Sus scrofa: one gene and its partner. The protein of the gene in region 2 binds, or shares a complex with, the protein of the main gene of each other region. Links are inferred from orthologs where the notes say so. Each region holds a gene or a part of one and is shown on either strand. Other genes may lie near its edges.

What was found. The genes of interacting proteins can lie anywhere in the genome.
Region 1: SKP1 (region 2) and TRIM21 share a complex: the UniProt entries of both Homo sapiens proteins name them as parts of the SCF(SKP2)-like complex. The link is inferred for Sus scrofa from reciprocal best matches to the Homo sapiens genes SKP1 and TRIM21.

The regions. Positions count from the first base shown.
Region 1 is NC_010451.4:5,788,078-5,791,227, forward strand, and holds the end of TRIM21 (E3 ubiquitin-protein ligase TRIM21), read left to right. Parts: intron 1-822; coding exon 823-923; intron 924-1,185; coding exon 1,186-1,706; coding exon of another isoform or gene 1,707-1,735; 3' UTR 1,736-2,551; downstream 2,552-3,150. UniProt on the Homo sapiens protein: E3 ubiquitin-protein ligase whose activity is dependent on E2 enzymes, UBE2D1, UBE2D2, UBE2E1 and UBE2E2.
Region 2 is NC_010444.4:136,473,828-136,477,579, reverse strand, and holds the start of SKP1 (S-phase kinase-associated protein 1), read left to right. Parts: upstream 1-1,215; 5' UTR 1,216-1,671; intron 1,672-3,752. UniProt on the Homo sapiens protein: Essential component of the SCF (SKP1-CUL1-F-box protein) ubiquitin ligase complex, which mediates the ubiquitination of proteins involved in cell cycle progression, signal transduction and transcription.

The DNA of each region.
Region 1 (3,150 bases), on a different chromosome or scaffold from region 2:
TTCTTTGTTGGAGGAGAAGGTGGCAGGAAACATAGTCACCTGTGGGAAAGGTTTTCAGGTTTAAAAATGTGCCCTTGGAGGTCCCTTTGTGGCTCAGCAGAAACGAACCCAACTAGCATCCATGAGGATGCAGGTTCGATCCCTGGCCTCGCTCAGGGGGTTAAGGATCTGGCATTGCCATGAGCTGTGGTGTAGGTCGCAGATTAAGCTTGGATCCTGCAAGACTGTGGCTGTGGCTGGATTGTAGGCCGGCGGCTGCAGCTCCAATTTGACTCCTGGCCTGAGAGCTTCCGTATGCCATGAGTGCAGCCCTAAAAAGACCAAAAAAAAAGCACTGAGGTTTTCCCCATCCTTCTCCCTGTTCTCAAAGACCCAGTTCTCGCTGAAATAGTTTCTGGTCTCAGAAGGCTGATTAATGGACATCTCCGTTGCCGAGGTGCCCAGTCCTTGGAGTATAAAATCTTCACCAAGTGAGGTTCTGACCAGCAGGGAAGCTGTGAGTCTGCGGCCCGCTGGGGCTGCTTTAAAAAGAACCTGACCAGTTTCAAACCTCCCAGAACGGGCCCTGGGTAAGACCCGCAGCATGAGGTCCCTCAGGGAAGTGATGCAGCCTGTATCAGATGCCTTGAACGTAAAAATGGAACAGGATGTGCTTGGGTGGAAACTGCATCCTACCTCCCTTCGCCCTCCACCCCGAGGGACCCCAGCAGCACGGGAGGAGTTTGCACATTTGCATTGAATTACCAGTCATCCGCAGAGGTGATAATAGGGAGAGGGTTCCTTAGGAGTTGCAGAGGGGGTCTCTAACTCTTTTTCCCCCAGGAGTGAGTCTTGGAACCTGAAGGAGCTGAACATCGGCTTCCCAGACCTGAGCAGCTTGTGCTATGTGCCCGGGATTAAGAGGATGCTGAGGTCATATGCAGGTGAGGCCGGCACCAGCGGTGTGGGACTGGCCTGCCCAGGAGCAGAGGGGAGGACAGGGATGCCCAGTGCCTCCCAGGGTCGGGGAGAGATGGCAGGTGGGAGTAGGCGGGGCGGGGGTGGAGACAGGGGAGGTGGTTCCCCCAAAGGTCAGGGCAAGGGGCGGAGTTGGCCGGGGGTCACTTCCTCCTCATCCCCCACCCCGGACTCAGGGTTACTGACTCCCCCCGCTCTCCCAGCCTGACCACGGGCCTCTCTCTCCAGTGCACATCACTCTGGACCCACTGACGGCCAGTCCGTGGCTCGTCCTTTCAGAGAATCGGCGACAAGTGAGGCTTGGAGAGACCCGGCAGGAAGTGCCCGAAAACGAGGAGAGATTTGATACCTACCCCATGGTCCTGGGTGCCCAGCACTTCAACTCTGGGAAACATTACTGGGAGGTGGATGTGGCCGGCAAGGAGGCCTGGGACCTGGGTGTGTGTCGAGACTCCGTGAAGAGGAAGGGACATTTTTTGCTCAACCCCAGCAATGGCTTCTGGACCATCTGGCTGTGGAACAAACAAAAATATGAGGCTGGCACCTGCACCCAGACTCCCCTCTACCCTCAGGTGCCTCCGAGCCGCGTTGGGATCTTCCTGGACTACGATGCCAGCACCGTCTCCTTCTACAACATCAGTGACCACGGCTCCCTCATCTACAGCTTCTCAGAATGTGCTTCGCTGGACCCGTTCGGCCCTTCTTCAATCCTGGTTTCAATGACGGTGGAAGAAATGCACCCCCCCTGACCCTCTGTCCACTGAGGACGGGCTGGTAGGGATCCAGAGACTGTCGGTGGCAGCGCTTCTCTGTTAGCCCCCCTCTCAGCCAAGAGCCCTGCCTCATTTGCCCCTGGACGCCCAACCACCGTTACCTCTGCAGAGGTGTCAGGATATCAGCAAGCAAACGCTGGCAGAGAGGTCACGGGGGGTCTGTGTCAAATGACCTTCAACACCCAGATTCCTGCCCTCCGTTGCTTCATGAGCCCCTCCATAAGCCAGCCACTCGTATCTGGCCCCAAACTCATCTGGATCAACTGAAGCATGTTCTCCTCTCCATCTCCGGGCCTCTGCTCAGATCTCTCCTGTAGATCTTGCAAAGGGCTTCCTAAATAAATTGGGCCTCCGTCTGCCCCACCACTCTTGTCTCGTACACCTCTGGGATTAGCTTTCCGACATGGTCACGTCTCATCACGGATGGCTCCACGCTGCTACGGAAAAAGAGCCATTAGCAGCCATCCTTTTAAAATAAAGGCTGAGGAGTTCCCGCTGTAGCACAATGGGATTGGCGGCGTCTTGGGAGCGCTGGGACATGCAGGTTGGACCCCCGGCCCCGCACAGTGGGTTAAGGATCCGGCGTTGCAGCACCTGCAGCTCAGGTCGCAACTGCGTCTCAGATATGATCCCTGGTCCAGGAACTCCATGTGCCGAGGGGCAGCCAAAAGAAGAAAAAGATAAATTAAAAGATAAAAATGAAGTTTAAAAATTACAGAAAATAAAATAAAGGCTGAATTACGCACGCCTTAGATCACCCTGTTAAATACCCAGCTTGCTGGCTCCCCTACTCCCCTCACTACCTCCCAGCCGTATCTTCTCCTAAAAATACCTAACTCTCTGAGGATCTGTTCTTCCAGTTTTCCCAGAGCACAGAGGGCCTCCCTGCTGGTCCCCACCCCACGCTCCGCTCAGGGGGTGCTGCGGGTGGGCAGATGCAGTGGCTCGTGTTTTACTCCCAGTAGAGGCTGATGGCAAGGGCCAAACTTCCGTTCACAATTACCACAATCGAGCTAATTAATTCATCACCCCACACGTACTGTTTTTGTGTGTATAATGAGCACATTTAAGATCAACTCTTAGCAAATTGCAAGTATACAATATCATATTTTAAACTATAGTCCCCACGCTCTACTTTAGATCTCCAAACTAAAAGTGTGTTTGGAGATGTAGTGTAGAGATAACATCTCCCTGTTTCCCCTACTTCCATGCCCACTCTATTTCTATGAGTTCCAATTTTTTGGATTCTACATATAAGAGAAATCCCAGAGTATTTGTTTTTCTGTGCCTGGCTCATTTCACTTAGGATAATGTAAGGTTTATTCATGTTGTCACAAAAGGCAGGACTTCCTTCTTGTATGATTGAAAATACTCCATTGTATATTTTTTTTTCTGCCAGCTTTATTAAGATGTAACATTT
Region 2 (3,752 bases):
AGCAAAGGGGATCTAGTGGGCCTTAACTAAGAGACCAGAAGCTGGAGCTGCTTAGGGCAGGGCAGGCTTGTGGAGAAAAAGTCTGAGAGCTGTAGGTCCTTTCATCTTCCCGACATCAGCTGTGGCACCTGGCAGACACTGGATACCACAGCTTGGAGACAAAGACCTGGTAACCCAAGGAGCTGCTTGGTCTCCCTGCCCAGTCCCATCTCAGAAGAGCTGCAGGCTTCTGATTTCTTTAGGGGGCCCTGTGTGGAAGTGTCCTTTGTCTCCTTGGCGTCAGGAATACCATCACGTGCCTGCTGGTTAGGTGAGCCTGGCGCCTTAGTCTCCTCCAGAGGGGTGGCATTGTTCTCTAAACAGAGCAGGGTAGAGCAGGTCAAAGTCCCTGACTGGAGAGGGTGGGAGTGGGAATTTGCAGACTAACCCCTTTCCCTTGAGGGTTGGTTTCATCTTAGGGACCCTAACACAGCCTTTAGGGAGCATCCCACACAAGGGCTCTCTGCAGGCTGGACTCTGGCTGCCTCGTTCGCTGCCGAATTCCTAGCACCCATCACCTCGCCCTCCCCCCACCCAATACACTTTTGCTAACTTGGGGTTTCCCTGAAACAGTGGTTACTTTGGATTGGAGGCCTCTTCAGAAGTCGATAGGAAATCAGAGTTGAGAGTATCAAACAATCCTTGCTCTGCCACTGAACCGTTTTGAACCTGTTCCCTCACAAGTCAAAGAGAAAAGGGTAATGGTATTTCTTCTTCTTTTTTTTTTTTTGTCTTTTTGTCTTTCTAGGGCCGCACCCAAGGCATACGGAGGTTCCCTGGCTAGGGGTCGAATCGGAGCTGTAGCCACCGGCCTACACCAGAGCCACAACGTGGGATCCGAGTCGCGACTGTGACCTACACCACAGCTCATGGCCACTCCAAATCCTTAACCCACTGAGCGAGGCCAGGGATCGAACCCGAAACCTCATGGTTTCTAGTCGGATTCGTTAACCACTGAGCCACGAGGGGAACTCCTGATATTTCTTCTTATGCATTATTGTGGAGAGTGAGCTAACTCATGTAGGGTTCAGGGGAGGACACTGAGGCCCTGAGCAAAATCTCACAGCGCTGGCTGCAAAGATCAGCGCCCTTTCTTTCTCAGAGTCCCAGTTTCCCCATCATGAAAAGGAGCTGCAGCCCCTCCCAAACACCACCCCTAACACAGACGCCTCTCCCTCCCCACTCCGCCCCTCTCTCCCCGCTACTCCCCGCGCTCTCCCTCCCGGCCCCTCGCTCCAGGTTTCTAGGCTTTTCGGGACTGGGGTCTTTAATTCGACTTAGGCCAGCTCCCGCCTGAAAGACCCTTGCAGGCCGTGGAGTATCTGAGCCAGTCCCCCGTTTCCGCTTTGAGGGGAGTGAGCGCCGCTTTCGAGGGAAGGGGTGAGACTCAAGGCCCGCCGCGCCTCGCCCCGCCGGTCTGCGCCTGCCGTCAGGCGATCTCGGCGGCCAGCCCTGCCGTCTCTGTGACGTCACGGGCCCCGGGGTCCTCGGCGCCTGCGCCCGCTGCTATAAAGGCGACGCCGCGCCACTCGGTTGAAGTCGCCTTGTGCGTCGCTTTTCTGTCTCTCCGGTTGCGGACACCGCCCTTCTCTCGTCAGCCTCCGGCCCGCCATCTCCTTGAGCCCAAACACCGTGAGTACCCGCCGCCTGAGCTGAAAGGGGGCGGTGGCGCCGCAGATTGCGAGCCGCGGGCCGCCCCGCTGCGGCTTTGGCCTTGCTCGAAACGGCAGGCACCTGGGCCTGGCCTTCCCTCAGGCCCGGTGAAAGCCGTCGTCGACCCCATTCTCCCGGAGGTGCCATTCACCTCCCACACCGCCCCTCGACTTGCCGAGGCCTCTTTTAGCCGCTAGTCTTCACCGCGCCCAGGCGGGCGGGAGGGAGAAGGTGTGAGCGGAACCGGGATTGGGCCTTCTCTGCGCGGGGCGACCCTCAGCCGTCGCGGAGCAAGGCTGCAGGCCCAGGCTGCGGCCGGGGCCTCCCTCGGCGGTTGAGCCCATCGGCCCCGGGAAGCCAGGGCGAGGGTGGTGGCGGGGCTTTTAATGGACTTCTCTGGGTCGTCGTGAGCATGGGCGTTTGTCCGTTTGTTGTTCGGGTGTCCCAGAGGAAGCGTGGTAGGGTCGTCCCGCAGCTGGATTCTTGGCTCTCAGTCTTTCTCGCCCCTGTGTCTGGCGTCACTCGTCCTGGTTAACTGCGCCGGAGCCGAATTTCGGCAGAGAGCTGCCTGCTCCTTCGGAATATTTGTCGCCCATTATTTTGCCACAGCCCGCGGTTGTTGAAGCAATTGTTGGAGTAGCAGGTGCCATCGCCACAGTGGTTTGGCTTTTAGGTGCACCAACTCCGTAAACTTACTAAGAGGTTTTCGAAGGGATAGGATGTTCACCTGCTTTGGTTTGCTTTTTAATGGAGACTAAAGGTTGGAGTTTGGGCTCATGAATGTTTTCATGAGAGCGTCACAGCAGAATGTTTGTGTGTCATAGAGCAACGCAGATTTCACTTTGCCCTATAAGAAGAAGTGTCAGAACTTCGGGTCACTTAAACAGGTTTTTTTTCTTTTATGATGTTTGATAGACCCCTCCTCCTGGAGGGTGATTTAACTCAAAAGTGCCGGCGCATACGGAATTGAAGGAATGGTCTGGAGAACATACCACATCAAAGTTTCATGGATAATTATAGAAAAGTTTTGCTCTGATTTCCAGCTGTATAACGCTAAAAAAAATTTTTTTTTGAGTATTAAGTTTAGCTTACAAAGTGCATCGAATTACAGATTAACCGATTGTTTCCCTGCTATTTATTTAGTAAGATCTCAGTTAAGAGTAACCTAATACACGAATTTGACTGTGACTAAGCAGATATGGCTGTTTATCAAAAGTTATTTGAAATATGAAATGTTCGTCTTGCTTAAAAGTAATTTTATCAACTGCATTTCCAGACTTGTGATTTTATAACGTTCACTCCAGTGTTGTGGAACAGTCATAGAGCATAGAATGTTTTGTAATTTAAAATTGAGCTCATGTTAAAGTATTTCTTTAGGGGGATATCTTTTGCTTTTGCCTTGTCGCAAGGAAGGTCCTCTGCTCTGGGCGTTTCTTCATGGAGCAGGACAACTGCATTATTGGCAGGCACTGAGTAATATGGAGAAGCAGACATTTGTGAACTGAAAAGTGAAATCTGATTCTCTGCAACCATGGATGAGTGTGAGCTGGATATTTCAATGGCTGGTTTTAAAACAGCTTTACCTTTTTGCTTCCTTGCCCTAACACCTTTGTCTCTTTGGGGAATGGAGACAGTTGTGTGGGAAAAGCTGAATATTGTAACCGATTTAACGGGTCCTAAGTGTTGGGGCCTAAAATAGGTGCAGTCAGTGTTTTGAATGCCAAATTCTGTATTTTTAAGTTAGAGTGATATCAGAGTATTATTACGAACATCTCAGATGCACGGGCCTTTTAAAAACCTGTTACAGAAACTTAAAGAGATCTTGAGTTTTTACAGTCAGGTGTTGCTGCCGCCCACCCCCCATGCCTCTCCCCCAAGAATCTGAAGACGGTAAGAAATTGCTGGCTTAGAAGCTTAGAACTTTTAATTCTAAAGAGGTTTTGTTTTGTTTTTGCCAAAACTCAAGTCCTTTGAAGTTAAATGCTTAATTAACTTTTATGTAAGAAGTGTCTTTTTCCTAATGACTCATAATCAGTGTGAGTTAATAAATTCATTTTGGC